Xenopus tropicalis: one gene and its partner. The protein of the gene in region 1 purifies or fractionates together with the protein of each later gene. This does not show direct contact. Links are inferred from orthologs where the notes say so. Each region holds a gene or a part of one and is shown on either strand. Other genes may lie near its edges.

Region 1 (4,381 bases):
AAATATAGTGCGTTGTGTTTGTAACTGCTATGTGTGTACCGGTATCACACCCCTTATCCGGAAAGTTCCGAATTACGGAAAGGCTTCTCCCATAGACTCCATTTTAATCAAATAATTCACATTTTATAAAATGATTCCCTTTTCTCTGTAATAATAAAACAGTACCTTTACTTGATCCCAACTAAGATATAATTACCCCTTATTGGGGCAGAACAGCCCTATTGGGTTTATTTCATGGTTAAATGATTCCCTTTTCTCTGTAATAATAAAACAGTACCTGTACTTGATCCCAACTAAGATATAATTACCCCTTATTGGGGCAGAACAGCCCTATTGGGTTTATTTCATGTTTAAATGATTCCCTTTTCTCTGTAATAATAAAACAGTACCTGTACTTGATCCCAACTAAGATATAATTACCCCTTATTGGGGGCAGAACAGCCCTATTGGGTTTATTTAATGGTTAAATGATTCCCTTTTCTCTGTAATAATAAAACAGTACCTGTACTTGATCCCAACTAAGATATAATTACCCCTTATTGGGGCAGAACAGCCCTATTGGGTTTATTTAATGGTTAAATGATTCCCTTTTCTCTGTAATAATAAAACAGTACCTGTACTTGATCCCAACTAAGATATAATTACCCCTTATTGGGGGCAGAACAGCCCTATTGGGTTTATTTAATGGTTAAATGATTCCCTTTTCTCTGTAATAATAAAACAGTACCTGTACTTGATCCCAACTAAGATATAATTACCCCTTATTGGGGCAGAACAGCCCTATTGGGTTTATTTCATGGTTAAATTATTCCCTTTTCTCTGTAATAATAAAACAGTATAGAGAGCTACGGAGTTGCCATCCGGTGATCTGGAAATGTGCATTTATTTCCATGAAATAACTTTTCTAACCTATAACAATGTCATGTGTAAAAAAAAAAATTAGTTTCAGTTCTTTTAATTAAAAATATCAAAAGAAAATGTTAGCGTAGGGTTTGTTGGCCAAATGAGAGAACTGGGCACGGGCGAATGCTACTGCAGAGCGTTATATTAATGCCTGGGGGCTTGTTATTCCCAGTCACACACAGGCAAACTACATTGGTTTTCTTTCCTGGATTTCCTATTTTCCCATTGAATTTAAATGGGGCCACATTGTAACGATGTAAGTAGTAGTAGATTAAGTAGTGACTGACGGGTAAAGAGTCTCCGAGTCTCCACAGAACTTGTTTCACCAGTAAAATGCAACGTAAAACTGCAACAATTTCCATCACTAAAGCTTTTGTTCTTTTTGTCTCTTCTCCTTACAAAGGCTGCCGGTATATTCTACGTGTCCAGCCGTGTAAACCTTTTGCGCCTTCTGGTCACACCTGTGCCTTGCCTTCTGCCATTTCTGCAGTGTCTGTCAGCCCAAGTGTCTTCAAGGGAAATGGCCAGTCGAGGAACAACTGCTCGACCCAATGGTCCGGCGGCCGGCAACAAGATCTGCCAGTTCAAGTTGGTTTTACTGGGGGAGTCGGCAGTGGGGAAGTCCAGCTTGGTCCTGCGCTTCGTTAAGGGCCAGTTTCACGAGTACCAAGAAAGCACAATTGGAGGTAGGTTATGTGTTATACAGGTGTGGGAACTGTTACCCAGCATGCTCGGGGCCTGGGTTTTTCCCAATAAGGAATCTTTCTGTAATTTGGATCTCCAAAGGAAATCATTTAAACATGAAAAGAACCCACTAGGACTGTTCTGCCCCCAATAAGGGGTAATTATATCTTAGTTGGGATCAAGTACAGGTACTGTTTTATTATTACAGAGAAAAGGGAATCATTTAACCATGAAATAAACCCAATAGGGCTGTTCTGCCCCAATAAGGGGTAATTATATCTTAGTTGGGATCAAGTACAGGTACTGTTTTATTATTACAGAGAAAAGGGAATCATTTAACCATTAAATAAACCCAATAGGGCTGTTCTGCCCCAATAAGGGGTAATTGTATCTTAGTTGGGATCAAGTACAGGTACTGTTTTATTATTACAGAGAAAAGGGAATCATTTAACCATTAAATAAACCCAATTGGGCTGTTCTGCCCCAATAAGGGGTAATTATATCTTAGTTGGGATCAAGTACAGGTACTGTTTTATTATTACAGAGAAAAGGGAATCATTTAACCATGAAATAAACCCAATAGGGCTGTTCTGCCCCAATAAGGGGTAATTGTATCTTAGTTGGGATCAAGTACAGGTACTGTTTTATTATTACAGAGAAAAGGGAATCATTTAACCATTAAATAAACCCAATAGGGCTGTTCTGCCCCAATAAGGGGTAATTATATCTTAGTTGGGATCAAGTACAGGTACTGTTTTATTATTACAGAGAAAAAGGAATCATTTAACCATGAAATAAACCCAATAGGGCTGTTCTGCCCCCAATAAGGGGTAATTATATCTTAGTTGGGATCAAGTACAGGTACTGTTTTATTATTACAGAGAAAAGGGAATCATTTTTAAAAAGTAGAATTATTTGGGAGATGGCCTTCCTGTAATTTGGAGCATTCTGGATAAAAGGGTTCCAGAAAACAGATCCTATACTCATTTTCTTTTCTATGTGAAAATAACACGCTTGCCAAATGATCTGCTTGTTAGATGTACCATAAATTGCACGATTTGGCCTCTGAAAATAGACACAAATGATGATCCTAATAATGGGATGATAATTTGGGTCTTTGCAGACCTGACAGGCACATGACCACATCAATATCCCACTGCAATAATTCCCTAATTGGGCAGGATTTTCAAAGCTTTCTGACCAATACCTGATCAAGCATTTGTACAGGAAAGATGGCATTTTCCCCCATACTTGGGCCAGTAAGACTTATTCTGGAGTGGCCAGGTCAGTAGCCAGTGTAGGCCAGTGTATGGCTAGCTTTGAGCTTCAGTTTGAATATAAGCCACATTCATCAGGCTCAGCCCTTCTCAGTTAAAGTAAGTCTCTACCATGGTCACTTGGTCATCCTGTGTCCTTGTTCTTTTACCCTACTATAGTTTATATAAATACCCCGCTGTGTAGCCCCGGGGGCAGCCATTCCTGCACTGGTACAGCTGGGGTATTTGCTACAGAAACCCTACTATAGTTTATATAAATACCCCGCTGTGTAGCCCCGGGGGCAGCCATTCCTGCACTGGTACAGCTGGGGTGTTTGCTACAGAAACCCTACTATAGTTTATATAAATACCCCGCTGTGTAGCTCCGGGGGCAGCCATTCCTGCACTGGTACAGCTGAGGTGTTTGCTACAGAAACCCTACTATAGTTTATATAAATACCCCGCTGTGTAGCCCCGGGGGCAGCCATTCCTGCACTGGTACAGCTGGGGTGTTTGCTACAGAAACCCTACTATAGTTTATATAAATACCCCGCTGTGTAGCCCCGGGGGCAGCCGTTCCTGCACTGGTACAGCTGGGGTGTTTGCTACAGAAACCCTACTATAGTTTATATAAATACCCCGCTGTGTAGCCCTGGGGGCAGCCGTTCCTGCACTGGTACAGCTGGGGTGTCCCGGGGGCAGCCGTTCCTGCACTGGTACAGCTGGGGTGTCCCGGGGGCAGCCGTTCCTGCACTGGTACAGCTGGGGTGTCCCGGGGGCAGCCATTCCTGCACTGGTACAGCTGGGGTGTTTGCTACAGAAACCCTACTATAGTTTATATAAATACCCCGCTGTGTAGCCCCGGGGGCAGCCGTTCCTGCACTGGTACAGCTGGGGTGTTTGCTACAGAAACCCTACTATAGTTTATATAAATACCCCGCTGTGTAGCCCCGGGGGCAGCCATTCCTGCACTGGTACAGCTGGGGTGTTTGCTACAGAAACCCTACTATAGTTTATATAAATACCCCGCTGTGTAGCCCCGGGGGCAGCCATTCCTGCACTGGTACAGCTGGGGTGTTTGCTACAGAAACCCTACTATAGTTTATATAAATACCCCGCTGTGTACCCCCGGGGGCAGCCATTCCTGCACTGGTACAGCTGGGGTGTTTGCTACAGAAACCCTACTATAGTTTATATAAATACCCCGCTGTGTAGCCCCGGGGGCAGCCGTTCCTGCACTGGTACAGCTGGGGTGTTTGCTACAGAAACCCTACTATAGTTTATATAAATACCACGCTGTGTAGCCCCGGGGGCAGCCATTCCTGCACTGGTACAGCTGGGGTGTTTGCTACAGAAACCCTACTATAGTTTATATAAATACCCTGCTGTGTAGCCCCGGGGGCAGCCATTCGAGCTGGAAAAAAGGAGATTAGGCACCTGTTAAATAGCAGATAACAGATAAAACACCATTGTATGCTACAGAGACTAGGGCTGAGGAGAGAAGTGGGTTCTGCAGACTGGTGCCAGCGGATTACTAG
Region 2 (4,591 bases), on another chromosome or scaffold:
GAGTGGCACGGCCCTGTATTCCTGTTATTTCCCCCCAGTACATGTCAGTGCCCCCAGCCTGTACCAGAGTGTGGCACGGCCCTGTATTCCTGTTATTTCCCCCAGTACATGTCAGTGCCCCCAGCCTGTACCAGAGAGTGGCACGGCCCTGTATTCCTGTTATTTCCCCCCAGTACATGTCAGTGCCCCCAGCCTGTACCAGAGAGTGGCACGGCCCTGTATTCCTGTTATTTCCCCCCAGTACATGTCAGTGCCCCCAGCCTGTACCAGAGAGTGGCACGGCCCTGTATTCCTGTTATTTCCCCCCAGTACATGTCAGTGCCCCCAGCCTGTACCAGAGAGTGGCACGGCCCTGTATTCCTGTTATTTCCCCCCAGTACATGTCAGTGCCCCCAGCCTGTACCAGCGAGTGGCACGGCCCTGTATTCCTGTTATTTCCCCCCAGTACATGTCAGTGCCCCCAGCCTGTACCAGAGAGTGGCACGGCCCTGTATTCATGTTATTTCCCCCCAGTACATGTCGGTGCCCCCAGCCTGTACCAGAGAGTGGCACGGCCCTGTATTCATGTTATTTCCCCCAGTACATGTCGGTGCCCCCAGCCTGTACCAGCGAGTGGCACGGCCCTGTATTCATGTTATTTCCCCCCAGTACATGTCAGTGCCCCCAGCCTGTACCAGCGAGTGGCACGGCCCTGTATTCCTGTTATTTCTCCCCAGTACATGTCAGTGCCCCCAGCCTGTACCAGAGAGTGGCACGGCCCTGTATTCCTGTTATTTCCCCCCAGTACATGTCAGTGCCCCCAGCCTGTACCAGAGAGTGGCACGGCCCTGTATTCCTGTTATTTCCCCCAGTACATGTCAGTGCCCCCAGCCTGTACCAGCGAGTGGCACGGCCCTGTATTCATGTTATTTCCCCCCAGTACATGTCAGTGCCCCCAGCCTGTACCAGCGAGTGGCACGGCCCTGTATTCATGTTATTTCCCCCCAGTACATGTCGGTGCCCCCAGCCTGTACCAGAGAGTGGCACGGCCCTGTATTCCTGTTATTTCTCCCCAGTACATGTCAGTGCCCCCAGCCTGTACCAGCGAGTGGCACGGCCCTGTATTCATGTTATTTCCCCCCAGTACATGTCAGTTCCCCCAGCCTGTACCAGAGAGTGGCACGGCCCTGTATTCCTGTTATTTCTCCCCAGTACATGTCAGTGCCCCCAGCCTGTACCAGAGAGTGGCACGGCCCTGTATTCCTGTTATTTCCCCCCAGTACATGTCAGTGCCCCCAGCCTGTACCAGAGAGTGGCACGGCCCTGTATTCCTGTTATTTCCCCCCAGTACATGTCAGTGCCCCCAGCCTGTACCAGAGAGTGGCACGGCCCTGTATTCATGTTATTTCCCCCCAGTACATGTCAGTGCCCCCAGCCTGTACCAGAGAGTGGCACGGCCCTGTATTCATGTTATTTCCCCCAGTACATGTCAGTGCCCCCAGCCTGTACCAGAGAGTGGCACGGCCCTGTATTCCTGTTATTTCCCCCCAGTACATGTCAGTGCCCCCAGCCTGTACCAGCGAGTGGCACGGCCCTGTATTCATGTTATTTCCCCCCAGTACATGTCGGTGCCCCCAGCCTGTACCAGAGAGTGGCACGGCCCTGTATTCATGTTATTTCCCCCCAGTACATGTCAGTGCCCCCAGCCTGTACCAGCGAGTGGCACGGCCCTGTATTCATGTTATTTCCCCCCAGTACATGTCGGTGCCCCCAGCCTGTACCAGAGAGTGGCACGGCCCTGTATTCCTGTTATTTCCCCCCAGTACATGTCGGTGCCCCCAGCCTGTACCAGAGAGTGGCACGGCCCTGTATTCATGTTATTTCCCCCCAGTACATGTCGGTGCCCCCAGCCTGTACCAGAGAGTGGCACGGCCCTGTATTCATGTTATTTCCCCCCAGTACATGTCAGTGCCCCCAGCCTGTACCAGAGAGTGGGCACAGCCCTGTATTCATGTTATTTCCCCCAGTACATGTCAGTGCCCCCAGCCTGTACCAGCGAGTGGCACGGCCCTGTATTCCTGTTATTTCCCCCCAGTACATGTCGGTGCCCCCAGCCTGTACCAGAGAGTGGCACGGCCCTGTATTCATGTTATTTCCCCCCCAGTACATGTCAGTGCCCCCAGCCTGTACCAGAGAGTGGCACGGCCCTGTATTCCTGTTATTTCCCCCCAGTACATGTCGGTGCCCCCAGCCTGTACCAGAGAGTGGCACGGCCCTGTATTCCTGTTATTTCCCCCAGTACGTGTCAGTGCCCCCAGCCTGTACCAGAGAGTGGCACGGCCCTGTATTCATGTTATTTCCCCCCAGTACATGTCAGTGCCCCCAGCCTGTACCAGAGAGTGGCACGGCCCTGTATTCATGTTATTTCCCCCCAGTACGTGTCAGTGCCCCCAGCCTGTACCAGAGAGTGGCACGGCCCTGTATTCATGTTATTTCCCCCCAGTACATGTCAGTGCCCCCATACATCCCATCAATGCCCCCAGCTGACAGTGAGGGGCCCTGCCCCCATACCCATAGGGCATTACTAGGCCTATAACAGTAATTGCCCCAGGCACTACCCACTCCAGCCCGTGTAACTGCCCCCTGAAGCCTTTCCTGGGGCCCCAGAATAAAAGAGCGAGTAGGACCCCCCAGTACCCAGCCAGGCCCCCATGGCCACTCACCGTCAGGCCGGTACCCAACACGATCACATCGTACTCCTCATCCATCGCGCCGTGAGGGGAGAGTGCGGAGCTGGAAGCTGAGCTGGACCAAAGATGGAGGAACAGCTTCACCGCCCTGTCTCCTTCCGCGCCAGCAAATAGTTCCTTCCTCTAACCCCACCCCCTGCCCCACCCTACGGCCCCCAACAGCCAGTATCGCTAGTACCGAGCTGCACTGCCGGGCACCGTCTCACTTAGTCCCTAACAGCCCCCCATGCGGGGCCCACAGACACCACAGAGGGACAATAAGGAAGAGGGCGTGTGACCTTAGTTATGCGGCTGTGAAAATAGATCCTTCCGCGTCTGCATCTTCCCAGCAAGGGATACTGGGGGGGCTAAAGATGGGAGGGTGGGGCACTGGCTGTTATCTGTGTAATAGCCCCTCTCTCATTGGGTGTCCTGCCTGTTATCTGCCCAATTACCCCTCTCTCATTGGGTGTCCTGCCTGTTATCTGCCCAATTACCCCTCTCTCATTGGGAGTCCTGCCTGTTATCTGCCCAATTACCCCTCTCTCATTGGGTGTCCTGTCTGTTATCTGCCCAATTACCCCTCTCTCATTGGGAGTCCTGTCTGTTATCTGCCCAATTACCCCCCTCTCATTGGGAGTCCTGCCTGTTATCTGCCCAATTACCCCTCTCTCATTGGGAGTCCTGCCTGTTATCTGCCCAATTACCCCCCTTTCATTGGGAGTCCTGCCTGTTATCTGCCCAATTACCCCTCTCTCATTGGGTGTCCTGCCTGTTATCTGCTCAATTACCCCTCTCTCATTGGGAGTCCTGCCTGTTATCTGCCCAATTACCCCTCTCTCATTGGGTGTCCTGCCTGTTATCTGCCCAATTACCCCTCTCTCATTGGGAGTCCTGCCTGTTATCTGCCCAATTACCCCTCTCTCATTGGGTGTCCTGTCTGTTATCTGCCCAATTACCCCTCTCTCATTGGGAGTCCTGTCTGTTATCTGCCCAATTACCCCCCTTTCATTGGGAGTCCTGCCTGTTATCTGCCCAATTACCCCTCTCTCATTGGGAGTCCTGCCTGTTATCTGCCCAATTACCCCTCTCTCATTGGGAGTCCTGCCTGTTATCTACCCAATTACCCCTTCTCTTTGGGAGTCCTGCCTGTTATCTACCCAATTGCCCCTCTCTCATTGGGTGTCCTGCCTGTTATCTGCCCAATTACCCCTCTTTCATTGGGTGTCCTGCCTGTTATCTACCCAATTACCCCTTCTCATTGGGTGTCCTGTCTGCTATCTGCCCAATTACCCCTTCTCATTGGGTGTCCTGTCTGCTATCTGCCCAATTACCCTGCTCTCACTGAGAGTTCTGCCTGTTGTCTATCCAATTACCCCTCTCTCATTGGGAGTCCTGTCTGTTATCTATCCAATTACCCCTTCTCATTGGGTGTCCTGTCTGCTATCTGCCCAATTACCCCTTCTCATTGGGTGTCCTGTCTGCTATCTTCCCAATTACCCTGCTCTCACTGAGAGTCCTGCCTGTTGTCTACCCAATTACACCTCTCTCATTGGGTGTCCTGTCTGCTATCTGCCCAATTACCCCTTCTCATTGGGTGTCCTGTCTGCTATCTGCCCAATTACCCTGCTCTCACTGAGAGTCCTGCCTGTTGTCTACCCAATTACCCCTCTCTCATTGGGAGTCCTGCCTGTTATCTACCCAATTACCCCCCTCTCATTGGGTGTCCTGTCTGCTATCTGCCCAATTACCCCTTCTCATTGGGTGTCCTGTCTGCTATCTGCCCAATTACCCTGCTCTCACTGAGAGTCCTGCCTGTTGTCTACCCAATTACCCCTCTCTCATTGGGAGTCCTGCCTGTTATCTGCCCAATTACCCCTCTC

The links.
Region 2: the proteins of rab5c (region 1) and gdi1 purify together in Homo sapiens (affinity purification with mass spectrometry; 3 studies listed by BioGRID and IntAct, counting the BioPlex papers as one, with this or other methods). This does not show direct contact. The link is inferred for Xenopus tropicalis from reciprocal best matches to the Homo sapiens genes RAB5C and GDI1.

What each region holds. Positions count from the first base shown.
Region 1 is NC_030686.2:6,896,858-6,901,238, forward strand, and holds the start of rab5c (ras-related protein Rab-5C), read left to right. Parts: upstream 1-1,306; 5' UTR 1,307-1,423; coding exon 1,424-1,589; intron 1,590-4,381. UniProt on the Homo sapiens protein: The small GTPases Rab are key regulators of intracellular membrane trafficking, from the formation of transport vesicles to their fusion with membranes.
Region 2 is NC_030684.2:141,847-146,437, reverse strand, and holds the start of gdi1 (rab GDP dissociation inhibitor alpha), read right to left. Parts: upstream 2,842-4,591; 5' UTR 2,748-2,841; coding exon 2,703-2,747; intron 1-2,702. UniProt on the Homo sapiens protein: Regulates the GDP/GTP exchange reaction of most Rab proteins by inhibiting the dissociation of GDP from them, and the subsequent binding of GTP to them. Promotes the dissociation of GDP-bound Rab proteins from the membrane and inhibits their activation.